7 linked regions of the Mus musculus genome follow. The protein of the gene in region 1 purifies or fractionates together with the protein of each later gene. This does not show direct contact. Links are inferred from orthologs where the notes say so. Each region holds a gene or a part of one and is shown in the gene's direction. Other genes may lie near its edges.

Evidence for each region.
Region 2: the proteins of Med4 (region 1) and Cdk8 purify together in Homo sapiens (affinity purification with mass spectrometry; 9 studies listed by BioGRID and IntAct, counting the BioPlex papers as one, with this or other methods). This does not show direct contact. The link is inferred for Mus musculus from reciprocal best matches to the Homo sapiens genes MED4 and CDK8.
Region 3: the proteins of Med4 (region 1) and Ccdc138 purify together in Homo sapiens (affinity purification with mass spectrometry; 3 studies listed by BioGRID and IntAct, with this or other methods). This does not show direct contact. The link is inferred for Mus musculus from reciprocal best matches to the Homo sapiens genes MED4 and CCDC138.
Region 4: the proteins of Med4 (region 1) and Git1 purify together in Homo sapiens (affinity purification with mass spectrometry; 3 studies listed by BioGRID and IntAct, with this or other methods). This does not show direct contact. The link is inferred for Mus musculus from reciprocal best matches to the Homo sapiens genes MED4 and GIT1.
Region 5: the proteins of Med4 (region 1) and Med12l purify together in Homo sapiens (affinity purification with mass spectrometry; 3 studies listed by BioGRID and IntAct, with this or other methods). This does not show direct contact. The link is inferred for Mus musculus from reciprocal best matches to the Homo sapiens genes MED4 and MED12L.
Region 6: the proteins of Med4 (region 1) and Ift20 purify together in Homo sapiens (affinity purification with mass spectrometry; 3 studies listed by BioGRID and IntAct, with this or other methods). This does not show direct contact. The link is inferred for Mus musculus from reciprocal best matches to the Homo sapiens genes MED4 and IFT20.
Region 7: the proteins of Med4 (region 1) and Polr2b purify together in Homo sapiens (affinity purification with mass spectrometry; 3 studies listed by BioGRID and IntAct, with this or other methods). This does not show direct contact. The link is inferred for Mus musculus from reciprocal best matches to the Homo sapiens genes MED4 and POLR2B.

What each region holds. Positions count from the first base shown.
Region 1 is NC_000080.6:73,516,047-73,519,045, forward strand, and holds the end of Med4 (mediator of RNA polymerase II transcription subunit 4), read left to right. Parts: intron 1-589; coding exon 590-676; intron 677-1,160; coding exon 1,161-1,292; intron 1,293-1,847; coding exon 1,848-2,020; 3' UTR 2,021-2,499; downstream 2,500-2,999. UniProt on the Homo sapiens protein: Component of the Mediator complex, a coactivator involved in the regulated transcription of nearly all RNA polymerase II-dependent genes.
Region 2 is NC_000071.6:146,229,776-146,234,049, forward strand, and holds the start of Cdk8 (cyclin-dependent kinase 8), read left to right. Parts: upstream 1-1,474; 5' UTR 1,475-1,917; coding exon 1,918-2,045; intron 2,046-4,274.
Region 3 is NC_000076.6:58,570,937-58,573,840, forward strand, and holds part of Ccdc138 (coiled-coil domain-containing protein 138), read left to right. Parts: intron 1-2,652; coding exon 2,653-2,791; intron 2,792-2,904.
Region 4 is NC_000077.6:77,491,982-77,496,211, forward strand, and holds the start of Git1 (ARF GTPase-activating protein GIT1), read left to right. Parts: upstream 1-1,430; 5' UTR 1,431-1,601; coding exon 1,602-1,653; intron 1,654-4,230. UniProt on the Homo sapiens protein: GTPase-activating protein for ADP ribosylation factor family members, including ARF1.
Region 5 is NC_000069.6:59,254,978-59,258,477, forward strand, and holds part of Med12l (mediator of RNA polymerase II transcription subunit 12-like protein), read left to right. Parts: intron 1-840; coding exon 841-1,029; intron 1,030-2,064; coding exon 2,065-2,139; intron 2,140-2,251; coding exon 2,252-2,442; intron 2,443-3,204; coding exon 3,205-3,366; intron 3,367-3,500. UniProt on the Homo sapiens protein: May be a component of the Mediator complex, a coactivator involved in the regulated transcription of nearly all RNA polymerase II-dependent genes.
Region 6 is NC_000077.6:78,535,039-78,539,160, forward strand, and holds the start of Ift20 (intraflagellar transport protein 20 homolog), read left to right. Parts: upstream 1-1,322; 5' UTR 1,323-1,538; intron 1,539-3,471; 5' UTR 3,472-3,700; intron 3,701-3,795; 5' UTR 3,796-3,797; coding exon 3,798-3,924; intron 3,925-4,122. UniProt on the Homo sapiens protein: Part of intraflagellar transport (IFT) particles involved in ciliary process assembly. May play a role in the trafficking of ciliary membrane proteins from the Golgi complex to the cilium.
Region 7 is NC_000071.6:77,337,984-77,341,483, forward strand, and holds part of Polr2b (DNA-directed RNA polymerase II subunit RPB2), read left to right. Parts: intron 1-1,337; coding exon 1,338-1,434; intron 1,435-2,391; coding exon 2,392-2,486; intron 2,487-3,500. UniProt on the Homo sapiens protein: Catalytic core component of RNA polymerase II (Pol II), a DNA-dependent RNA polymerase which synthesizes mRNA precursors and many functional non-coding RNAs using the four ribonucleoside triphosphates as substrates.

The sequences.
Region 1 (2,999 bases):
GAGTCTATTTTCTGATTGTTACATTCAGGAAAACAGCTCATATTCTCTGAGAGACGGGTGGGCTTCTGTAGCAGAAGCAAGTCTCTAGGAGAGGAGGCTGAGTCCATTGCTCAGGGGTGGTTAGAACTCCTTAGTGCTTTTTGAAACAGGTCTAAAATTTATAGAATGGAAAGCTATGACTGTCTGGCGCACAATCTGCTAGAGCCTCTTCCTTGGGAGTCACACAGAGGCTGCAGACTGTAGGGTCAGCAGCTTGGATGCTGCTGGAATGAAAAGCGCTCCCCTTGGTTTACTGTCCCTCACTGTGGCATTCAGAAGACTCTGCACTTGATGGCGGCTAGTAATCGAGATGACTGAGCATTATCACGCTGGCCTTAAATTTACGTTAGCCGACTTTGCTGGGTGGGTATCTTGGTTCCAAGGTTCAGAAATGTATTTATAACAGTTTTTGTGTATGTGCAGGTGTTTGGGAGATGGACAGCTTAGATGATCCTATTTCCTGATAGTTTGAAATTAAATATGGTGTGTGTATGTATGCTCTTCTAAACTTGTGTTTAATGATCTGAACTGTTCTATTTTCTCAACTCAGGTGCTATCTCCTCTGAAGAAATCATTAAATATGCGCACAGGATTAGTGCAAGCAATGCTGTCTGTGCTCCACTGACTTGGGTTCCAGGTAACAGAGCTTCTTACATCAGATGAATGCAGGTTTGAAAGGACTGAGGTATCTAAATAAGATCATTTAACGTAGAATGTACTCATCTAGAGTAACATCTGCTAACAAAGGCATTTTCTTCAGTGTTGGAAGGAATGTCAGGTGTTACCCTCTTCTACCCTTCTACCCTTACTGTGTAGCCCTGGCTGTCCGGGGACTCATTTTGTAGACCAGGCTGGCCTGGGAAGAGAAGTCAGAGTTCTGCCTCACTCTGCCTTAAAGGTACGTGCCACCGTGCCCAGCTTAAGGATTTCCACTGTAGCTTCAGGCAGTGTGTGGCAGTATATACTGCAAAGGCAGGTACTGAAGAGGCCGAGGCAGGACTGCAGGCTTGAGGCTCACAAAGCACTTGCGTCTTTTAGTGTGAACTAAGGGCAGCTCATTCTTCAAGAACATATAAATGCTTTTTGAAAGCCTGAGTTAAAAGCTGTCTTTACTGTTTTAGGAGACCCTCGGAGGCCATACCCAACCGATTTAGAGATGAGAAGTGGATTGTTGGGTCAGATGAACAATCCTTCCACCAGTGGTGTGAATGGTCACCTCCCGGGAGATGCCCTTGCAGCAGGTAGACTGCCAGGTAATGCCAACTGGATGGGTGTTTTTAAGCAGACAGAGGTGCCCGTGAGGCACTGTCTGGTAGTGGACATCAAGATCTGTTACACAGGTTCCCTGCCAGTTTGTCATCCAAAGACCCTGCAGTGATGCACAGGACACTGACCTAAGCCCCTATGTCCCTCATGTGCATCTATTTCCTGGCACCCTCCCCAGGCCTGGCCTTCCCCTGTCGTGACCACTCTGAAGAGCATTTTTGCAGTTGAGAGGCATGCCCCCAAATAGAATAAGCACATTTTGTAGGTGCTGTGTTTTAATGTGGAAGAACCTTCCTAAGGAGAGGACATAGTGGGGACTGTGCTTTCTGAAGCCCATTGTAGCCATGGGCCACACTGTGTTAAAGTGTGGATTTGGGAATCTGCTTATTTGTGTTTAGCATTGCGAATCCCTAACCTTGTTAGATCCTTGGTACTACAAGGTAGGTGGGTGGGTAGATAGAATTAAGGTACTTGCATAGAGGGAGGGGATTTGAGTAGGCTGATCACAAGTAGGACTAATCCCATGTGCCTCTTTTCTCCAGATGTCCTTGCTCCGCAGTACCCATGGCAGTCAAATGACATGTCTGTGAACATGCTGCCACCAAATCACAGCAGTGACTTTCTGTTGGAGCCTCCTGGGCACAACAAAGAAAATGAAGATGATGTTGAGGTTATGTCAACAGACTCTTCGAGCAGCAGTAGCGACTCTGACTGAGAAAGGTGTGGCATGCACAGACTCCAGTGCGGCAGAGTTCTGTCAAGGGGGAAAGAAAAGCACAGACCTAAGGAGCCCATGAAAATCAGCGGGTTTTCTTCCTAGAGCCCGAGCCCCTGGTTTTCTATCTGTTACACAATGTTTGAGGATTAGTCAGAATTACTGTAGTGTTTGGTTGTACATAGCAGCCCTGGCATGAGACTGAAGAGGAACTCACACAACTCATGGAGCATACTTAGAAAGAGCACTGAGCCAGACGTGGTGGCTCACACCTATAGTCCCAGCACCTGGGAGGCTGAGGGATTGCTGTGAGTGTCGGGCCGCCTTGAGCTACAGAATGAGCTGAGCCACCAGGGTAACAGAGATAAGAACAGGCATCGGAGCGCTGTGTGATACTTCAGAAGTGCTCACTTGAACAACTCAATATATATATGTGGTAAATACTGTAATTTGTGTAAATAAACTTGGTTTTGTTTGTATTTAATTTTTTTCAATTTTTTAAAAAATATTTTTAAAATTTAGGTACACCTTCAGTGTAGGAAGGAAACATTTAAATCCAGTTGAATTTGAGCTGGGCAGTGGTGGCACATGCCTTTAATCCAGCACTCAGGAGGCAGAGGTAGGTAGGCAGATCTGAGTTTGGGGCCAACTTTGTCTACAAAGCAAGTTCTAGGAGTACAGAGAAACCCTGTCTGGGGAAAAAAAATCCAGATGTATTTTATAATAAAATAAGATTCTGGTATATATGATACAGTATATACAATAAAATGACTATCTTAACTCATAGTCACAATTAAGTCTCTGAGATCATTAAGTTGAAACTGAAAACATTTATTACAACCCCATACTACACAGACACATACACACAGGATAAGGAAAGTTAGAATAGATGGCCATCTCATGCCATCACCTTGTCTCCTTGTGACTTTTCTCATCTTTTACAGGACTGGGTCTCCCTGCTTGTATAAGGTACCTAGGT
Region 2 (4,274 bases), on another chromosome or scaffold:
AGTGTGTCAGCTCCCCTGGAACTAGAGCTACAGAGGATTCTGAGCCATCACCATGCGGGTGCTAGGAATCAAATCTGGGTCATTAGAGGGCATGTAAGGCCTATAGCAGACACATTCTTGCTTTACTATCAACGACCTATTTGATATTTCTGCCAATTTATCTGCCTGTGTGTATAAGCGTATTTTGTTTGTTTGTTTGTGTTTTCCGTGACAGGGTTTCTCTGTGTAGCCCTGGCTGTCGTGGAACTCACTCTGTAGACCAGGCTCGCCTCAAACTCAGAATCCTGCCTGCCTCTGCCTCCCAAGTGCTGGGATTAAAGGTGCGCGCCACCACGCCCGGCTATAAGCATTCTTGTGTATGCACAGATGTGTGCAAGTATAAGCATGAGTGCATACGTCTGGAGTCTAGAGGTTGATGTCTATCATGGAACCTTGAGAGCATACCATTTCAGTAAGGCTAGCCGGTCATCCTGCTGCAGAGATCCTGCCTTTTTTATTATTTATTTTATTTATTTATTTATTTATTTATTTTTTGTCTCCCTTGCTTTAGTATTACAGGCACACTTAAACATGTGTGGATTAAAAGCTTTTTTTTTTTCCTCTTTAAACAGGTGTCTTGGCTTTTTTGGTGGCAGACTGTTACCTGTAAGTTGATATAAATCTTTCCCTCGCCAAGTTATATGTGGACATGGTGTTTTATCACAGCAACAGAAATCAAATTACAACACGTGGCAAGCGTTCTAGCACTCTAACCCATCTCCCCAGTCCCCTTCACTAAGTTCCCCCCCCCACCGCCCCCCCCCCCCCCGTGGTATAAAGATGTCAAAGAAAGAAGAGAAATCTTAAATACAACCACGTAGTTTATTGTAGTATTTAGAAACAGGTTGAGGCTACGAAAGGAAAAACCTGGAGTCTTTGGGGTGGGGGTGGGGAGCAGTAATTGCCCTTTTCTAAATCCTGGAGTTCAGAAGTGACTTCAATACAAAATAACCGCCCCCCACCCCCCATCCCCCACGACCTAACAGGTGTCTTTTGCTAAGTTTATATGGGCTAAGTAAATTGGATTGTAGAGATGCGGCTTTGGGAAAAATAATCTCCATGCAGCAGAAACTCGTTGCGTGACGGACTACCAATCCCATCATGCAACGTTCTGAATTCGCGGCGTCGTGGTAAAGACTGCTTCTGCAGCCACCCGTGCACTTGAGCCTTGGAGTTTCTGGCCGCACTGGCGACTGGGTTAGTCCACGTGGTAAGTCTGTCAGCAGCTCCGCTCCGCGGCTGAGCGAGGCCCTTTCGCCTGCCGGCGTCAGAAGAGACGGCTGCCAGCTCCGGAGTCGCTCACAGGTGGGGCGGAGGCAGCGCGAGGCTTCGCGACGTTTTTACGACAGCGGCTGCCGTGTTCCGCGCTCGTCCTCTCTCTCCCTCCTCCTCCTCCTCGCCCTCCTCCTCCTCCTCCTTCTCCTCCTCCTCTCTCGGAGGAGCTACCGGCTGTTGTGTGGCGTCGCTGGTCTGTCCGGGCGGATGGCAGCCTGAGTGTTCGTGAGCGCGTGTGGGAGAAGGTGAGGCGCGGACGCGCGTGGGCGAGGAGCAGAGTCAGCCGTGGCCGCCCCGCGTCGCACCCGCAGCAGCACGCGCGGCCAACCGCGCGCGAGCCGGCGCCCCGGGAGCGCGGGGACAAGGGCGGACGCTGCTCCCCGCCCCCAGCGCGTCCCTCGGCTGTCGCGCGCCCGCGGGGACCGCCCGGCGCTCCCCTGGATGTCCCCGGCGCCCGCGCGGGGCCTCCTGCCGTCGCCTCGTGAGGCGGGCTGGTGCTGCGGCCGGCGGGTGTAGCTCGGGGGCTGCGGCTGCTGCGCGGCCCGGTCCCCACCGCGGCCCTCGGCCCCCCGCCCCAGCACCCCGGCCTTGGAGGCTGTGACAATGGACTATGACTTTAAAGTGAAGCTGAGCAGCGAGCGGGAGCGGGTCGAGGACCTGTTTGAATACGAGGGCTGCAAAGTTGGTCGAGGCACTTACGGGCACGTCTACAAGGCGAAGAGGAAAGATGGGTGAGTGTGGGTGTCGCTGCGGGTGTCCTCGAGGCTGGGAGGCAGGTGCCCGGCTCGGATGTCGGGGTCCCCACTTCCTCCAAGACTGCCTCTGTCCTGGCCAGCCTGCTTTGGGGAGGAAGTGGTGTCCCAGGAATCCAGACTCACAAGAAACCCTTCGTGCAAGAGGGAGACGGACCTTCTGTCTCGTGGGCAGTGTGTACCTTTTTTGCTTTTTCTTTTTTTGTGTGAATTTCTGTACAGAATAGTTTTCTTTTTTTTTAAAGAAGATGGTTATAAGATGCCCGTTTAAATAAATCTGTTCTTCTTTGGTTGATTTATCCGGTAACCTTTTGGGGACTAACTCATCTGGCTCTGGAGTGATATCCATCAGTCTGGAAGAGAAGCTCTGATCTTTTCCCCTTATCAGTTGTGATCAGTTGGTGGCCAAATTTGGATTTGATGGGAGAAAGAAGACATCGAGTAAATGTGGGTCTGTAGAGTTCCATGAAGGATCATCTGTAATGTAAATGTAGCAGTTGCTATTCAGGTATCATTAGCTGTGAGTTTTTATATAGAACAATGGGGATTTGGTGCAGAGTGGATGGTGTGTGGGGAAAAAAAGCAAGTGACAGATAGGGGCTATGTTGTGCAAGCTCTTAAAGCAGAATCTATCAGCTGCCAGTGAACTTTAATCCTTTTGCTTTAAATAGCCTCTTCTAGAAAGAAAAATCAAACCTATGGCTGGTGACACTCAGTTTTGCTTCATGGATTGAGTGAAGTGAACGGGCTCCATTCTCTTTCATCAGTAGATGATTGCGCTATGACATCGCCAGAAGGGAAAGGCCTTCTTAGTTTGGGAGAAAATATTTAATAATTTCCCATTTCCCTCTTGTACAAATAGATATTATCTCTGCCTTTGACACTAGGAAGTTATTGGGAAGATTATCATAGCTTATTATATAATTTTTTGTATTTATTAGAAACAGCTTTCTTTGAGCGTCTGTTATTTGGCTAGTTGCTACTTGACTGCTTGGGAAATGACTTTTTTCATTTTCACAGGAGTACATATTCAGAATTGCATTAGCACTGTAAACGAGACGGCTAAAGCTGGAGCGAGTTCTTTTTGAGGGAGCTTATTTATAAATACTTTCCGAGTCTGGATAATGGAAAAGGAAGTGTCTGTCTATTACACACTTCTCTTCGCTTTACTGGAACGCCTTCCTACTTTATGATAATTTCAGTGCTTTTGTGCAACTGTGAAACCGTGCAGCTAAGCGCAGAAAGTGGAGACTTGATGTTCTGGGTGCCCGGTGGCTCTAGAAGCACCTTTTAGCAGAATGTATAAAGCCGGGGCATCCAGAGCCCTTGTTAATTCTTGTCCAACTAGATTCGTGTTATCAACACTTTATTAGTGGATTATATTTAAAGAAATCATCCAAATTAATTTGCTGCATAATTTCAAAAGGGTTAAAGCACTTCATCCTTCAGTATTACATAGTTTGGGACATGGTCATAAGATCTTCACTCCCAAGACATTTGACATTATAGTACATTTTGACCAGTCTGTCATTTGTTTTTAAAAATTCGAGTGGTTTTTATATTTTATTCTTGTAAAAGGAGCCAATTCTAGTTTCAGAAATTGCCAGTTTAAGATAATAAACTATCCAAATGTGTTGGACTGTGGTCTATTTTTTTTTTAAAGTATATAATGTGTATAGAGGGAGATACTTTAAACACCTTTTACATCTTGATGATCAGGTTTTCATTTAGGCTAAGGATAATTTCAGAAGAAATTATATTGCTTAAAATAGCTGGTGTTAGTGTGTACTTCTTAGTCATTTATGGCAATGGCAAATGAACATTTGCATTTGGGGGGATTGCTTTTTAAGCTGTAATCCTTTGGGTTTGTTTTCCAGCAACCTTTAATGATTCTGTTTATTGTGATGAACTAAATTATTTTTGTAGTGAATCAAATGTCAAGAGAGTTTTAGAATTGGAGGTTTTGCTTTCCACAGGGAGTACTCTTCAGTTTGGCTTGTTTCTAAGGCCTGGCTGGTAACCTGCTGCATTGTCTTTATGACCTGTGTCAGTGAGGCATAATGTTAAGCATTTTTAGACTTGGTATAATACAATTTGTGACTGTTTTCATCTTTTTTTGGGTTTTTCGAGACAGGGTTTCTCTGTGTAGCCCTGGCTGTCCTGGAACTCACTCTGTAGACCAGGCTGGCCTTGAACTCCGAAATCCAT
Region 3 (2,904 bases), on another chromosome or scaffold:
GTTGAAAAGTCTGGTGTAGTTCTGATAGGCCTGCCTTTATATGTTACTTGACCTTTCTCCCTTACTGCTTTTAATATTCTATCTTTATTTAGTGCATTTGTTGTTCTGATTATTATGTGTCGGGAGGAATTTCTTTTCTGGTCCAGTCTATTTGGAGTTCTGTAGGCTTCTTGTATGATCATGGGCATCTCTTTCTTTGTTTGGGAAGTTTTCTTCTATAATTTTGTTGAAGATATTTGCTGGCCCTTTAAGTTGAAAATCTTCATTCTCATGCACTCCTATTATCCATAGGTTTGGTCTTCTCATTGTGTCCTGGATTTCCTGGATGTTTTGAGTTAGGATTCTTTTGCATTTTGTATTTTCTTTGATTGTTGTGCCGATGTTCTCTATGGAATCTTCTGCACCTGAGATTCTCTCTTCCATTTCTTGTATTCTGTTGCTGATGCTCGCATCTGTGTTTCCAGATCTCTTTCCTAGGGTTTCTATCTCCAGCGTTGCCTCGCTTTGGGTTTTCTTTATTGTGTCTACTTCCCTTTTTAGTTCTAGTACGGTTTTGTTCATGTCCATCACCTGTTTGGATGTGTTTTCCTGTTTTTCTTTAAGGACTTCTAACTGCTTGGTTGTGTTTTCCTGTTTTTCTTTAAGGACCTGTAACTCTTTAGCAGTGCTCTCCTGTATTTCTTTAAGTGAGTTATGAAAGTCCTACTTGATGTCCTCTACCATCATCATGAGAAATGTTTTTAAATCTGGGTCTAGATTTTCGGTTGTGTTGGGGTGCCCAGGACTAGGTGGCGTGGGAGTGCTGCATTTTGATGATGGTGAGTGGTCTTGATTTCTGTTAGTAGGATTCTTACATTTGCCTTTCGCCATCTGGTGATCTCTGAAGCTAGCTGTTATAGTTGTCTCTGGTTAGAGCTTATTCCTCAGGTGACTCTGTTAGCCTCTATAAGCAGACCTGGGAGGCTAGCTCTCTCCTTAGTTTCAGTGGTCAGAGTATTCTCTGCAGGCAAGCTCTCTTCTTGCAGGGAAGGTGCCCAGATATCTGGTGTTCGAACCTGTCTCCTGGCAGAAGTTGTGTTCCACTCACCAGAGGTCTTAGGATCCCGTGGGGAATCCTGTGTTGGCCCTTGCGGGTGTCGGGCAAGGCACCCCGGTGCTCGAGTGGAACGGAAGCGACTTGTGCCGTTTTATTTTATTTTACATATTTTTGTTTGCTTGGTTGGTTTTGTTTTTGTTTTTTGAGACAGGGTTTCTCTGCATAGCCCTGGCTGTCTTGGAACTCACTCTGTAGACCAGGCTGGCCTCCAACTCAGAAATCTGCCTACCTCTGCCTCCTGAGTACTGGGATTAAAGGCGTGCGGCACTATGTCTGGCTATTATGAGATTGAGTATATTTTATTCTCTCATAATTGGGTTAGATGTGCTCATTAAAAAATAATAGGTACATCTTTTCTAATTCATTTATAAGACCTTAGTAATGGTTTCATTCTTAAGGCAAATATAAGCAAAGTCATCTCTCATTTCCTCTCTTTTAAGTTTGTAATTTCTTTTTTGTTTTGATTATTTTAGTTTTTTATTTTTATTTTAACTTTTCAGATAAATTCATTTTATTTCGTGAACTCTCAAGTTTTTGCTTATTCTGTTTTCAGATTATTATATAATTACATCATGAACTATTCCCTTTTCTCTTTCAAATCTTCCCATATGTTCTTCTTTGTTCTCTTTCAAACTTGACGCCTCTTTTTTCATTAATTGTTAAACACATATGTGTGTAAACACACACACACACACACACACACACACACACACACACGCATATGTCTAAATACATGAATACAAGCTGCTCAATCTGTAGAATGTTAAAGGTATGTGTATGCTTTCATTTGGTATAGGGTAAGCAGCAGGTGTGCTCTTCCTTGGACCCCCCCACCCACCCATCCCTCCCGTACTCCCCCATCCCCCTTACCCACATTCTTAGTTGCCTGTGATTCTTTTCGTAGGGCTAAGGTCTCATGGTCCCCGAGAATTACTTTCAATTCTGATCCTCAGAGCCAGAGGACTGAAATTGGGACCCCCCAAACCTCCCTATGTCCCTACAAATCACAGATACTTCCTCCAGTCTTGCACTCCTGTGCCAGACCATGGATCAGCTGCAAGGAGGCTCTACTCCTCCCCAGGCCTGACTTCCTTGATCCTCAAGTTTGGCTGCTCTGTTCTTCTACAGTGATTCCTTAACATTTTTATTCTTAGGTTTTCAATCTGTTAGAACTCTCATTCATCAGCTCTCATGCTCAAAGTGTTCTTTCCTATCTAATACAGAGTTGTTATTGGGGTTTTACAGAAAAATAATTTATACTTCAACAGAATTTCTTATTTACAATCCTCTGGACTAGGCTTCCAGTTAGAAGTTTATTGAAGGAACATGTTCTCCTTTTCTTTCACGCATGCTTTGTGTTAGATAATAACCTGCTCCTTGGGACGCCCAACAAGAGTTTGCTTTTGCTTGTCAAATGATAATTTTGTCCTAATGTTTAAGGATGAAAGCATGACAGTCCAAGCCAGTGTTGATGCATGACTCACACGGTTCTGGTTTGGCTTTTTTAATTTCCTTTTTATACTTCTTAACATTAAGCATGGTGACTTGTTTTGCAGAGTCCCTGCAGCCATTCCTGGAAGCCTGTAGTAACTCTTTGTTTTTTCGTACTTGTTCTGTGCTGCTGCGAACGCCGAAACTTGATCTTCACATCCTGGAAAAGCTCAGCATCATTCTACAGAAGCTTTCCAAAATCAAGTAAGGAAGCCCTTTGTGTGTATTTTTAATTGACAGTTATATTGTGATCATTATTGGGGCTGCTTCTTCAGTCTCAATCTCAAGCCAGTTTTGATTCTAATTTGATTAGGATT
Region 4 (4,230 bases), on another chromosome or scaffold:
GTATGAGTGCAGCATGGTGTGGCATGACCACCACCCTTTGCTGGCAGAAGCCCCACCTGCTGAGCTACTGGTTGGGGGTGGGGGGTGTCTGCAAGATTTTTTTTTAAGGTGAGATTATAAATATATCCTGTGGATCACAATTTCAAACAAACTTGTCAATCTGGGTTGCAGCAAAAGGCGATGGAACTTTGCGTGTATTTTGGGTGGTGTGACTCATAAGCATTACTTGTCTCCCCCTAGGGAAGGAGCCTGCCCACCCACAAGTCACTGCTGCTCTGGCATTGCTGGGAGAAATAGACCCACTCAGACACCCCTAACCAAGGACTCCCCTCAAACCTCCGTTTTATTACTGAGCAGGAATCCCTAACACCCAGGAATCTCCCTTAACTCTGCCACCGCTGACCTGCCCCTTCCCCTACGAGCGCGCCGCCGCCCCTCACCCCCCCCCCCCCAACCTGGTGTTGTGTGCTTTTGCCCTCTCCATAAGCTGAGTTCTCTGACAGCCCTTTTGCGGCTGTAGGGGTGGGGGCTGGGCACAAACGGGTCACACGTGTATGGGGGAGCATGCTCAGTGTGGGGTGCACCCACGTGCAACATGCACTTTAGTTCCTTGCTCCCCCCACCCCCGTCTCCATGAGAAGTCCAAGAAAAAAAAAATCCTTACAAAAATTGGCTCCTGTTATAAGCATATGCTTAGGATACATACACACCCGTCGGGCAGCCCGGAAACATCGTTGATGTACACGAAACAGATAGCAAGTTATTACTGGTGCACACAACACTCTTAATAATCACCCAGATTCTTTGCTTTCCTATTTGAAACAAGAATGATGTATTTTTAGTCCCACAGAGAGGGAGTCACAGTTAAGTGACCTCTCGGGCACCTGGCCGTCCATATTGGTGGTAGTGAGTGTACACCGCAGGGATATGGCCACAGACCCACCTGGACACACTGACTTGGACACAGGGGACCAGAACACACACCTCACCCCAACCCAGCCTCTGACCGCTAGGAGCATTGTGCCTGGGAATGCTTCCTGTCCACCCCGATCCCCACCACGTCCGTCTCTCGGTTTTTGGGCCGAGCGTCCCCTGGACCACTCCCCAATCGGAAAGTGAAGGTCAAAGTGCTAGCGTGTGTCTCGGTTGCAGACCAGGCGGGCGCGGGCCGCGGCTCCTTTAAGAACCCCCGTCCACTCCCGCCTGCGCGCAGGCTTCCTTTCTCCGAGAGGCTCAGCCACGGAGCTGAGCGGAGCGCCGGGGCGGGGTGCGGGCCGCCCCTCCCCCGGTGGGCAGGGCTTTCACTGCTTCCTGCAGGAGCGGCCTGGGCCGCGCAGGGGGCGGGGAGAGCGGCGAGCGGCGGCGGGGCGGCGCGGGGCGGCGCGGGGCGGCGCGGGGCGGAGGGCGCCCGAGGGCGAGCGGGCGGGCGGGCACGGCGGGTTCCGGGCCAGCCCCGGGGGCGGACGGTTGGCCGCGCGCGCGGAGCCTCGCCGGGGCCTTGCGGGAGCCGGGCCGGGCCGCAGGGCCGCCGCCGCCGCCCGGGCCCGCCGCCCGCGCCCCCCACGCTGGCCCAGAGGGCTGCGGCCGCGTCGCCGCTGAGGATGTCCCGGAAGGGGCCGCGAGCGGAGGTGTGTGCGGACTGCAGCGCTCCGGGTAAGCGGCGGGATCGGGTCGGGGGCGGGACCGCGCCGCAGGCCGCCGCCGGGCGGGCGCCGAGGCCTGGCGGGAGCGCTGTGCCGGGCCGGAGGGCGGGGCGGGGGCCACTGCGGAGCGGCGTCCTTGGCGGGAGGGCCGGCTGCGGGGGGCGCTGTGCGTTGGAGCCGGTGAACGGGAGGGAACCGCCTCCCACCTCCATCGCGGCATCCAGACGGAAGCGCCAGCCTGGTGTGGCAGGAGGGCTGTGGCGGAGGCCGGCAGGCTGTGGGAGGTGGGCGCTAGGATGGTTTGTGTCATCCCTGCCACCCCCGCGTCTTGCACCTGCTGCTCACATGGCCCGCGTGCCCGCCGGAGCGGTGGAGGGCAAGGGGCCTGGATACGAGCTCCTAGGGAGCACCTGACAGGGGCAGCTACTCTTAAGACTCCCCGCCCCTGCTTCCCAAGGCTGGGGCTGCTTAGAGGGCCCGGTGTTCAGGAACAATCTAAGCATGGGCATCTTCCCCGGAAGCATCTCCAGGCCTGCTGGTGTCTGGGAACATCTAGACTCAGCTTTTCCTGTTCCGGGTAGGCCTGTTGGAGAAGGTGTGCTAGGTATTGGTTCAGTCTAGACGCCGATCCCTCCTGGTCTCTAGCTCATTGGATAGGAGAAAGCGGTGAGGTTGCTTATGCTCCCCTGGTCCAGCTGACTCCTGAGCGAACTGGACTTACACACTGCTTCCTCCCTACTAACCAGCAGAGTGAGTCGGTCTGAGCTGCTGTGAAAGCCCCCTTGGCTTGCTGAGGAAGTGAAGGGAGGGCAACAACTCACCAGGCTGGTCCCTTCTCTGGGAGGACACAGCCGTTGATGGGACTCAGCAGCTGGCTGGAGGCAGGAAGTTCTGGCCTTTGCCCATCCTCTATAAAAGAAGCTGTGTCTCCATACAGTCTCGGGGTCTTATGGACTCTGGGTAATGAAGATGTGATTAGGTGAGAGTGTGGAGTGCTGATATGCAGGCCCATAACTTGTAGTCACCCCTTAAAATCCCAAGATCTGACCGTGAGCCCAAGGAATGATGGTCCTGTAATTCTCATGATCTAAACTGGAGTACTGGGAGTTGTGGGTAGTTGCAGAGTCATGAACATGGGACACCTTGTAGGTGACTGACCCTGAGACCTCCTTAGGATATGTCACGGTTTGGAGGGTCCTAGAAGATCCGTTTACAGATGGACATCCATACCCCTAGTTAGCTGGAAATGACGACTCCCTTTCCCCGGTTGGCCTTGAATGGATGAGCGGTGTGTCTGTGGAGCCTAGCAGGCCCCATCAGGGGAGCCAGGGTCAGGTAGTAGCTTTGTTTCCAGCTTATTCTATGATGCTTTGCTCACTCTGGGTCTCAGGTGGAACAGAAATGGATTTTGAGGACCCTTGCATTTCCCAGTCTACATTCTTGGTTCTGGAGCAGATAGAGTCTGTGACTGGCTGGCTGCAGCCTCTGGACACCCAGTCGGTGCTGGGAGGAACAGGGTGTGTTAGATGTTAGGCCACTGAGCTCATAGCCCCCATCCTCATGTGACAGAGGCAGGCCTGCCTCAGGATTCTTTTCTTTTCCTCTCTCTGATGCAGAATGCAAATTACTAAGCAGATGGGCAGAGCGTTGACAGTCTTCCTCATTATCCCACCTTAGCACCTAGTGTGTAGTGTAGTGATTGCCACGTGGCAGCCATTCCCCAGGTACAAGTGTTGGTCTTTGTCAGGAGTGCCCTGTGCCACACTGGGTCTGACAGACAATGGCATCCTTGATCTAGGCCTATAGCATCCCAGACAAGAGAGCATAAGCATGCCTGACCTTCTCATATCCCATGCATATGATAAAATATAGTCCATATATATCCCATTATAGCCCAGAGTCACAGAGTCACTGTGATAGAACTCTGTTATTGTCTGGGTATGGTAGGTAGCACATGCCTTTAAACCCAGCACTTGAGAGACAGAGAGGCAGGCAGATCCCCAGGCCAGCCAGGGCTATGGAGTGAGATCATGGAGTGGGGTCATGGTGGTTTTGTAGTTTATTAACTTGGAGTGTGATAGAGGTAGGAGGTGAGCCTGTGCTCAGAGACAGGTGTGACTATGTTGCAAGGACACAATGTGGCTGCTGTGGCAGCTTGTGTCACCTTACCAGGTGCTGTGCCCCTGCCTGCCTTGGGAATCCAGGAGAGGGCAGGAGTCAGGGTGCACAATCACAGGGTGATTGTCCCCTTACTTTGCCTCTGCCTACTCTTCCTCATTGCCTTGGTCCCAAGAACTCTGGCCTGGCTAACAAACGTTCACTTCCCAACCCACCACCTTTACATCGGGCCTTACATTCTGATAGGCTGGAGGAAAGATCTTCAGATACCCAGGCCGTAAGTCACCAGAGCTGGGGAATATGTTGCAGGGCAATGTACAGACTCATTTGCCTTCTTACAAGAACAAATATGGTAGTGGTCTTTTGTTTGAGGGGGGGTGTGCAGTTTAAGACAAGGTCTCTTCTATATGGTCCTAGCTGTAGAAACTCACTCTGTAGACCAGACTGGCCTTGAACTCTGACTCACCTG
Region 5 (3,500 bases), on another chromosome or scaffold:
GTAAATACCCGGAGCTGAGCAGCTGACACAGTGTAAAGGGAGACTTACTTCATCTGAAACAGATTTGGGTTCAGATTGAGCTCTGATACTGATAGTTTCTTAATGCCACTTAATAAAAGAAAAAATGCTAAAGAAAGATGTTAGTGTCAAAAGAAGTAACCTTCTAAGTATTTATACACTTTACCTGTTTAGCAGAATATATCACATAAGAATTATGAAAGTTATATAAAGCATGAAATTCTTGTCCCTAAATATTAAGTCAAAGCAAACAAATAAACAAAAACCTGGTTACAAAATAGTACCTTAGAGTAAGTCCTTATTTTTTAAAAATCCCAAATTTTAACTCTGTCCCACAGATTTAAGTGGTTTCTGGTTTAACTCAAGCCCTCCCCTCCTTGGATTTTTTTTTAAAGATGTCAGGTGTTATAATTTTGTTTTGAAATTTTTCCATTAGCTGGCAATGTGGCTTATTTGATAAAGAGTGCTTGCTGAACATGCAGGGAGCTCTGGTAGGCAGGAAGACATGGCATTAAATTTAGGCCTGTTATCCCAGGACTGGACAGAGCAGAAGGATCAGTAGTTCAAGGTTATTCTTGACCACATAGTGACTTAGAGGCCGTCCTGCAATACCTGAGACCTTGTCTCAAAGAAAAATAGAACAATAACAAAAGAACCAGCATATATCTACATGCCAGCTTTTCTCCACCCATTTTTTTCATTAATTTCATTTCATTAGATTGTCTTTACTAGCCTTTTATCATTTTACCCTGAGAAATGAGAATAAAATCAACAGCCAGGTAGAATCATTGTGTGCCAGTCTAACTGCCGGCTTGTTTTTAGGAATGGGTGGGAGAACACTGCTTAAAAGAACCAGAACGACTGTGTACAGACAAAGAACTGATACTGGACCCCGTGCTTTCAAACATGCAAGCACAGAAATTGTTGCAGCTTATCTGCTATCCTCATGGCATTAAGGAGTGTACAGAGGGGGACAACCTGCAAAGACAGCACATTAAGCGCATTCTTCAGGTAAGCGGTCCATTCCAGGGATGCTGGTCAGGCCATCCATCACAATGTGATTCTTCAAAGAACTACTTTGTTACTGTTGTTGTTTCTGACCTTGATTTTTTTTCCATTTTTTATTAGGTATTTAGCTCATTTACATTTCCAATGCTATACCAAAAGTCCCCCATACCCACCCACCCCCAATCCCCTACCCACCCACTCCCCCTTTTTGGCCCTGGTGTTCCCCTGTACTGGGGCATATAAAGTTTGCATGTCCAATGGGCCTCTCTTTCCAGTGATGGCCGACTAGGCCATCTTTTGATACATATGCAGCTAGAGTCAAGAGCTCCGGGGTACTGGTTAGTTCATAATGTTGTTCCGCCTATAGGGTTGCAGATCCCTTTAGCTCCTTGGCTACTTTCTCTAGCTCCTCCATTGGGAGCCCTGTGATCCATCCATTGTTGGAAAGATCAGGAATTCAAGGCCCATACCTAAACATGATAAAAGCAATTTACAGCAAACCAGTAGCCAACATCAAAGTAAATGGAGAGAAGCTGGAAGCAATCCCACTAAAATCAGGGACTAGACAAGGCTGCCCACTTTCTCCTGACCTTGATTTTAATTCTGACTTTTGTTTTATTCTGTAATTTTCTTTACAGTGACATTGCCACTGCTGGCTACTCAGTAGATACAGTCAATAGCAAAGGGCATATATTGTATTTTAAGTCAGTGGTATATTTACTTGATACATAGTATTTATGATAGCTCAATTTTAAATGTGTTATTTAAGAGATTCATCATTTTGGAGTGAGGTTGGCTAATTGGTAAATGGATTCTGAGAGAAGCCATACTTGTCTGATTTCTACTTCCTGGCTTGTTGGTGAACGTATTTTGATGCTTGAATCTACTTTGTTGTGCATGTTCATTTTTATCAGGCATGGGATTGGAAGTCTTTAAGGCTTGTGAGTTTCCTTGCTGGGTATGAGTATTAATTACTGTAAGGCTGTGTTAGCATACATTCAGTATTCAAAATGTGACAATTCTTCGAATTTTCTCCAGAATCTTGAGCAGTGGACGTTGAGACAGTCCTGGCTGGAGCTCCAGCTCATGATCAAACAGTGCTTGAAGGACCCTGTGAGTATATATTGACAGCACACGTGTGAACTGAATAGAAAAGCAGAATGTCATTGGTGCTTGAAAATCAAGAAGTGTGTAGACAAGTTAGCTTTCTTTTTCCTGATACTAGAGCTCTGGTTCTGTGGCCGAAATGAATAATTTGCTGGACAATATCGCAAAGGCAACGATAGAAGTGTTCCAGCAATCTGCAGACCTAAATAATAATGCCTCCAATTCTGGCATGAGCCTCTTCAACCCAAACACTATTGGAAGTGTTGATCCAAGTAGCACAAGACAGAATGGAATAAAGACATTCTTAAGGTATTTATAGTTTTGTTGGGCTACCGTTGATATTTCATATGTCACAATAGCCTTGATTAGCATAATTCATTTTTTATTAAGCTTCAGGAAATGTAAGGGAAATAATAACTTACAAGTGACAGTTTCTGTTACTCAGCCAGGTAGGAGGGAAAAGTGGGGTGAGTGATGTCTTGGCACGTTACATTTTTTGTTGTAGGTCCAGGTACCTCAGTGACACAGATGGACTTAAGTTTGATGTGTGGTATCTCTGTCTTTGGGTCATTCACTAAACATAACATACTATCTATGTGTCTTTAATGATAGTTTTGTACAAATACAGTAATTTGTATTTCATCATGAAAGACAGATTGGTTTTCATGTCATCATTTTGGTAAAAGGTAAATAGGGGGTTTTAGAATTTAAAGATCGCTTATTCCTTAGCTTGAACACAATCCCATTGCATATCATCACCATGACTGAAACGTATAGTGTTCATAGAGAGAACATATGGTGTTTCATGGTCAGAAAGGCAGGATCCATGAGTCACTGAAAACAGTTTACAATGCAAAAAATGCCTTCCCAGAAGAGCACCTTTTACTCCTCAGCAGATGTGGGTATAAAGCGTAAGCAAATGCCTGGTCTTTAGCAAAAGGAGAAAGTGCAGACATGAAATGAGAACTCTAGTCTGTGCCTTGTGCACCGGTGTTTGACTGTGGCATCTGCATCGTCTGTGAGAGCAGAGGCAGCTGCGTTCTCGGGTGTAACGCCTGTTTCTGATTTTAGTTCCTCTGAACGCAGGGGTGTGTGGCTGGTGGCCCCCCTCATCGCCAGGCTGCCAACATCTGTGCAGGGAAGAGTGTTGAAAGCCGCTGGGGAAGAGCTGGAGAAGGGGCAGCACCTGGGTTCCTCTTCAAAGAAGGAAAGAGATAGGCAGAAGCAGAAAAGGTACGCTGGCAGGTGCCTCGCGTCAAGGCTGGCATCCGAAGGACCCGGAGGAAGCCTAGAAGCCTCCATCAAAGTCACATCGCAGCCAGCTCCACGGGGTGGGGCTTGTAGAACGGCCAACTCTCTGTTTAGCA
Region 6 (4,122 bases), on another chromosome or scaffold:
TCATGTTTTACAGGTAAAACCCACAACACTGGTCCTCAAACAAGAATTAAGTATATACATCAGCTTGCTAAACTAAAACTGACCCTGAAGAGATTTCAGTATGTCCTTGGAATGGTCGGGAGTGGGGGGCTTTCAGGAAGGTCTATATTGGTGCTATATTAAGTAGCATATCCTTTTGATGGCTTAATTGCTTTCAGTGATGGAACATGGAGGAAACGAGCTCCGGGAGTCTGACAGTAACACTACAATGCTAGACTGGTGAGCGACTGACCGCCTTACCTCAAAGCGGGAAAAAAATCAACTCCTCAACAAGTTTTAGCAAGTTCCTCACATACTTTGTGTGCAGTCCCATTTCCCCAGAATCAAGGAAGCACATAAACACGTTCTGCCAAATCAAAGAAACCCAAGTGACTAGGCTTGCCAACTGAGGAAGTCAAATCCGGAGCTAATCTATTCTTTTCCTCCTAAGAGCTACTTTGAGTCCTAGATGACGTCAGACCAGATTCCACCCAGACCAATTAGGTCCAAGAGTCCAATGGCAGGTGACGCCCTAGAAAGAAATTTCTGAGAGGATGAAGTTTCCACTGATAGTTTCAGGGCTCTTTCCTCAGGACTTCGCCTGTGGATAGAGGGGTAATCCTGGGGCTGGGGAACATACACGTGTCTCTATGGGAACCTAATGCGAAGCCAAGCAGAACAAAGCGCAAACGATCACGGTAGTTCAAAGACTTGGGGTTCTAAAGGAAGGACACGAGGTACGGCGAGGTGGGAAGGCTGATTTTGGCAAGAAAGGTCAGAAATCGTGGAAGCGGCTCTTATGTTTCACCCAAAGGCTCTCCAGTGGAAATGGAGAAACATCCCATGTCTCTCGTTGCAGTGTAGGCTGCTCTCCCGCCACACCCCTCCTCTTCTGAAAAACTGAGATCCGTGGTGCCTCCCATCCCCAGAAAAGACCTGAACTTCATCCCCGCGCGCCATCCCGTGCCTTTTGCCCAGGACTCAGCAGAGCCTGTCCTTCCCCTCTGCACCCGCACCTCTGGCTCTCACCGTCCGCGGGGACGCCTCTCCGAGTCTCAGTCAAGTAGCAAGCGGACTCGGTGCCACCTCTGGCCTGCGGCTGCCTGCAATCTCGGCTGTGAGCTCACATCCTGCGCCCGCCGACTCCGGAGTTACAGCCCAACCCTACAGATCGGGAAAGAGACTACAAGACCCGGCATGCACAGCGCGCGAGCTAGCAGTGGGTCGAAAACTTGACGTTTGACTTCCTTCTACTTCCGGGTTCGGGAACAAATCTACTTCCCGTGTCGTAGTCCCCGCCCCCTGAGCAAAGGCTTCTGGGCCTAGTGGGCAGTTATCGCGTGTTGCATCTATTTCCCAGCAAGCACCGCAGGGTGGGCGGATGCTGGTGCTTCTGGACTCGGGGGTGACGTGTGGCTCCTAGATCTTGTCTCCGTGGCAGCAGCCGGTTGCAGTTGCCGGAGAGAAGCTTCTACCGACAGTCGTCAGGGCCGCAGAGCGCTGCCGAGGCGGCTCGTCAGGTAGGTCGGGGACGTGGAGGACTTGGGACGGGAGGAGGCCGACGTGACCCAGCGCCGAGGATTGGCTGGACCGGGTGGAAAGCGGCGGTTTCCCTACCTCGGAGTTTTTAGGGATCGGGTTTACACTCAGCTCAGCCTGGCTCCCTCGATGTCACCGGTGAACCGAGGTTCGGACATTGCAGGAGTATAATTTAGTAAAGACAGCCGCGCCATTTGCCCAGTTCTTCCTGTGTCTACGCCTTCTCCAAACTCCACAGCTACAACTATTTGTTGTGCCTGCGGACCTGGGAGAGCCAGGGAGCGTAGAGCCAGGCACAGCCTTCATGCTTAGGAAACTCAATCCCACGTTCCTGGAGCATATTTGTGGTGGGAGTTAGGGGTGGGCTGGGGATCTGATAGCCCGCTATGTACCATATCTATCTTACCCATCTCTTTAAACTGTCCTTTCCAGCCATACTCTCGGTCCAATCCAGATCCATGGCAATCGTGTTTGGCTCCTTTCTTCACTTTTCTCCAAAGTGCTGCATTAAGCATTACTAAATTCTGTCAATTCAGACATCATCTGATCTCTGAACTCCCGTTCGGCTTCAAATCTTTTCTTCTGTTACAGCCTTCTGTTTCCACATGAATTCATTCATTCTGCAAACATTATCAGAGTGCCACTTACCTGCAGGCAGCCTGCTTAGAGATGCTTGGCTCACAGTGAGAAATTTGGAAAGGACGCCTCTATTCTGCTCTTCCCTGTTCCCTCTGTTTGGCCAAGGCAGTGAGTGATCTTTCCAACTCTGATCAATAAGCACTGCCGAAATCCACTGCTAGCGGTTATCATTATAAAAAATAATCCAAGTTCAGCTGGGTGTGGTGGCGCATGCCTTTAATCCCAGCACTTGGGAGGCAGAGGCAGGTGGATTTCTGAGTTCGAGGCCAGCCTGGTCTACAAAAGTGAGTTCCAGGACAGCCAGGGCTACACAGAGAAACCCTGTCTCGACAAACAAAACAAAACCCAAGTTCATTTACTCATCCAGCTATAGCCGGTTGCCAGCCTTGCTCCCTCTTGCTGTTTTGATCCCAGGACCCTTTGTGTCAAAATCTTCCAGCCTTAGGACGCCCCCATATGCTTTTCCCTATGCCCACAATGTCCCTCTCCCTTCTCTTAGAAGATTTTCTGGACGTGTTTAGGTCCCAGATTGTTTTTTCTGAAGGCTTTTGTTGACCTCTCTGCCTACTTGAGTTATGTCCTCCTGTAGAATCCTGACAGAGCACTGAGCGCTGTTCCTCATACCCTGATCACAGTTTGTGTTTATTTGCTTACTGTCTGTCTAGAGACACTATGTTCACTCTGTCCTTGGAGCTGGGATTCAATAAGGGTTTTTGTTTTTGATAAATGCATGTTAACTCAGAAGGCAGTAGGAGTTCAAACAAGTGTTTGCAGTCTCATGTCATATGAACTCTTCCATAGGACCTGGTCCAGTTAGTCCCTAGGAGCTCTTAAATACTCAAACTATCCAACTAGAACAACACAGGAAGGCAATTGTTTTTTTGTTTTTTGTTTTTTTGAGACAAGGGCTTGTGTAGCACAGGATAGCCTGGAACTCAGTATGCAGCCCAGGTTGGTCCTAAACGTGTGTCAGTCTTCTAGCAACACAGTGAGTTGCTAGAATTAGAGTCACGCATGACCATAGCTAGCTTTTAACTCTCATTTTAAAATTCATCCTTTTTGTTTTGTTTTGTTTTTCATTTCAGGGCATGCATTTGAAAAGCCTTTTTGGGACCTTAAACAGGGATTTATGACTATGCTTTTATCTCGCTCGCAGCTTAGGCCAGATACACCCAAGTGAACTGAAATTGTCTTTTCTCCTTGCTTAGTGATATTTCTGTAAAAATCACTTGATGCAATATAATCCTTCAGGTTCACGTGTCTGTTTTCCTCCAGCTAAGCTGTGCTGCTCCAGGGCAGGCACCATGTTGCATTCATCTTTACGCCCAGCATCTAGCAGTGTCGGCATGTAGTAGGCACTCAAGAAATGTATGTTGAATGAACGATGTCTGTGACAAGCAACTGGACTTTCCTCTTTCCTGACCCTTGCTCCTATGACATACCTCCTGATTGCCACTGTCACCCCTTCAAAGCAGACCTCTAGGGCTTCCTGGAAGGGAAACAGGTGAGGCTGAGAGCTGGAGGCAGAGGGATGGGTGTATGAGGAGGGCTGGGGTGGTGTCTGGGATGAAATTCAGGTCGCTGCTGGTTTCTCTGCAGCTATGGCCAAGGACATCTTGGGCGAGGCAGGGCTGCATTTTGATGAACTGAACAAGCTCCGAGTGTTGGACCCAGAGGTCACCCAGCAGACTGTGGAGCTCAAGGAGGAGTGCAAGGACTTTGTGGACAGTGAGTACCATCTGGAGACACAGTGTTGTTCTGCTTTGAGCAGTTTCCTTACCTGACCTTGGCCATTGTTCTTGGGTCTACCAGAATGAAGTTGCGTGCTCTCTGGATTGAGCCTGGTCTCTGGGTTCCCATGTGTACCCAACCTTCTCTGCTTGCCCTCTTACACTGCCATGGAGTCCCACATTTAGTGCCAAGCAA
Region 7 (3,500 bases), on another chromosome or scaffold:
TCTGTTTTATTCCATTGATCTCTATATCTGATTTTTTGCTGTTTTTGTTACTTTGGCCTGTAGTATACTTTGAAGTTAGGCAGTATTTTTATGCTCAGGACTGCGTTTGCTGTCTGGGTCTCTTGTGCTTTCAAATGAATGATAAGATTGCTTTCTCTGTCTCTGTGCAGAATAGCACTAGGGATTATGTTGGTAGCTTTCCCATGGTAGGATACCCATCTCCACAATATTAATCCTGATTCATGGAACTGTGAGGTATCTGTGTCTTCCAGTGTCTTCCTCAGTTTGAACACTTTCTAGTGCTTTAGTTTACTATATTATGTGTTATCAATCTTCTTCTTCCTCCTCTTTCCTCTTTTTTTTTTTCTTTGATAAAAGATTGGGTCACTATATCCCATAGGCTGAGTTTCCTACACGCTTCGTTAGTGCTGGGAATACAACTTTGGGCTTCATAATTCCTTACAATGAATCAATCTCTTATTGTTTATTATTACTGTGCACAGATGCTGTGCCATACATATAGATCATAGGACAGTTTTGTGGAGTTGGTTCTTCCCATTTTATATAGGTTCTGGGGTCAGACTTAGTTGGCCAGACTTGTACAGCAAATGCCATAGTGTGGGCTCACCTTCTTTTTTTCTCGTTCCCTCCCTCTCCCACCTCCCCTTTCATTGCCTCCCTCTCCCCACTCCTCCTCCTTCCTGGTGCTGTTTAAAGATGGGATGGTCCTATGTTGCCCAGGCTGTTTTCATATTCCTGAGCTAACATGGTCCTCCTGCCCTTGCCTCCCCGAGTGTCAGGTGGTAGACCTGTGGCACACACCTAGCCACCTATCCATTACAGTAGTTAGGGCAGCAGCTACTAAGATCTAACTGTGGCCTGAAAGATGGTGCCACAACTGTGGTGGCATGGGGAGAGAGCAGCAGGGTGGTGTTGGTTTCATATTTAAAATTAGAAATTAGGAGGCTAGGGTCTGAGGCTTGAGTTTGTCGCTAATTCACTCTGGAGGCGTATGTATGTTCTTACCTTAGAGTCGTGAGAACAATAAAGCTTGTTTATTTAGGGTTAGGGGAAGCACTCTGTAGTTATAGACCATGTTACATGGAGGAGTACTGATAGTAAGGATGGCTTCCCTGGGAGTGATGGTTTCAGGGTTAAGCAAGCAGAGCATTTGCCTCACACACAGGTTCAGGGAGGAGGAGACAGCAACAGTTTCCATGATACAAACATCCAAGTGTTTGTGACAAATAGGATGAAAGAAAATGGATTTCAATGAAAGGATAGGTTTCCCTGCTTCCCAGAGGGTCCTTTACTGTTTGTTTTTGAATGTACTGTAGGAATCAACTCAATTGTGGCCATTGCATCCTACACGGGCTATAATCAAGAAGACTCTGTTATCATGAATCGTTCAGCTGTGGATCGAGGCTTTTTCAGGTCAGCTTATAGTAATATTTGTTGAAACACAGATATAGTGGAAATGCATTTTTTTTCATAAAGTTTTTAAAGAATAAGCTTGACTGCCCTAATCCAAAAGCAGACCTGGCTGGTGGTCATACAGCTATTGGCGGTGAGTCTTGTGTCTCTGGGTTTTCAGATGTGATATTTTAAATGTTTTTCTGTTGTAAGCAAATATGTAATTGCATTTAGATAATATAGAAACATCTAAGGAAGAAATAGAAAATAGAACTCTGAAATAACTGCTGGTAAAATAATGGTGTGTTTTATCTGTTTTCTTGTTTGTTTTTAGAGACAATTTCACTATGTAGTTGAAGCTGGCCTTGAACTTACAGTGTAGTCCAGGCTGGCTTTGAACTTACAGTGTAGTCCAGGTTGGCTTTGAACTCACAGCAGTCCTTCATCCCAGTCTTCTGGGTTTTGGGATTACAAATGTGCACCATGACTTGGCTTCCTATATTCCCCTTTCTTACTGACAATAGATTAATCTTAAATATGTAGTAGCATAAGAAGGTTCTTTCAAACACGGGGGATTTAGAGGGGAAACTTTTCTCCTTATATAATTCTATAAAGCAGCACCAGGACTGAAGTGTGGACATCATAACTTCATATAAAAACGCCTCAGTGGGGATACTTGAGCAGATGAAGGCAGGCCGTGCTCGGGCTGCTAGGAGAGGAATTCTGTCAGTAGGAGGCTGGACTTATTACCTGGGTCCCCCTGGTCTCATGTGTGATGCCAAGTGTTTACAGTTGTGAGTCAAATGCTACATGTAAAATCCATTTAAACTGAACCTTGACCCTAGTACATAGTGACCCTTGTGCCTGTTTTGTGGTTCAAATTGTCTCTCAGATATCAGTTAAGCCAAACACCATTGCTGTAATCTAAGCCATTTTACTGAAAGAAAATATAAATGACCTTTGCAACTGTGTTTTTAGGTCTGTTTTCTACCGATCATACAAAGAACAAGAGTCTAAAAAGGGATTTGATCAAGAAGAAGTGTTTGAGAAGCCTACACGTGAGACATGCCAGGGTAAGAGACAGCGATGTCTGCTGGGGTCAGGGCTTGTTAGCAGCATTCTTCAGTGTCAGCACGAAAGCCACAGCGAGCTCATACACAGGCGCAGGAAGACTAGCTCCGGGTGACCAGCTCTGACTTAAGCCAGACATAACAGTCCATATTGGCCTTTGATTTGAAGACTCCTATGTAAAGCATTGTGGAATTTCTTAAGACCTCATACAGGATATTCAGAACATACAGGACAAAACCAGGGTATGTGGTCAGCATGTCCTTTAGCCAAGTCACTTTTTTGTGTCAGTGACTGGTAGGCATGTTACAGCAACAATATGAAATAGCTGGCAGGCATGAACAAAATGACTACAGCTATTCTGGGGGGAGTTAGACCATAATAACGTCAAACTGTGGGGTTCCCCTTTCACTGCTGTGCTGGCCTGTGCAGTGTTGCCAGGCTGTGCTGCTGTTCCTCTTATCTAGCGTGTGCGTGTGCGTGTGCGTGTGTGTGTGTGTGTATGTGTGTATGTATGTATCCTGTGGTGCTCTTAGAGCTCAGACTTAAGGGCATTCTTGCTTCAGATCTCTTCTCCTTAGTCGGTGGGGAAGAAAGAAGTGAGGCTGTGTTATCTCATGGCCACACGTCCCGCTGCATTCTCACTCTGCTGCTTGCTTGTTCTTCAGTGTCTTCTCTAAACCGCTGTGAGAGCAGCACAGTTTATTAGCTAAAATACTGCTCAACATCTTAAGATAATGAAAGGATATTCAGCAGTTCTTGTCTCCTGTTAGTCACTGTCACAGGCCACTTAGAAAGTTCTTACCCTAGCGAAGTGGACTCCTAACAGTATTGTGTGAAGGTATAGTGTCCTTTTTTTTCTTAAGTTCTTCCTTACTGCATTCCCATTGGTTGGTTCTATGTAGCAGTAAGTGGGTGGTCAGTGGAATTATGATGCACAACTTGGCCAGGCAGTGGTGGCCTGTGCCTTTAGTCTCAGCACTTAGGAAGCTGAGGCAGGTGGATCTTTGAATTCTAAT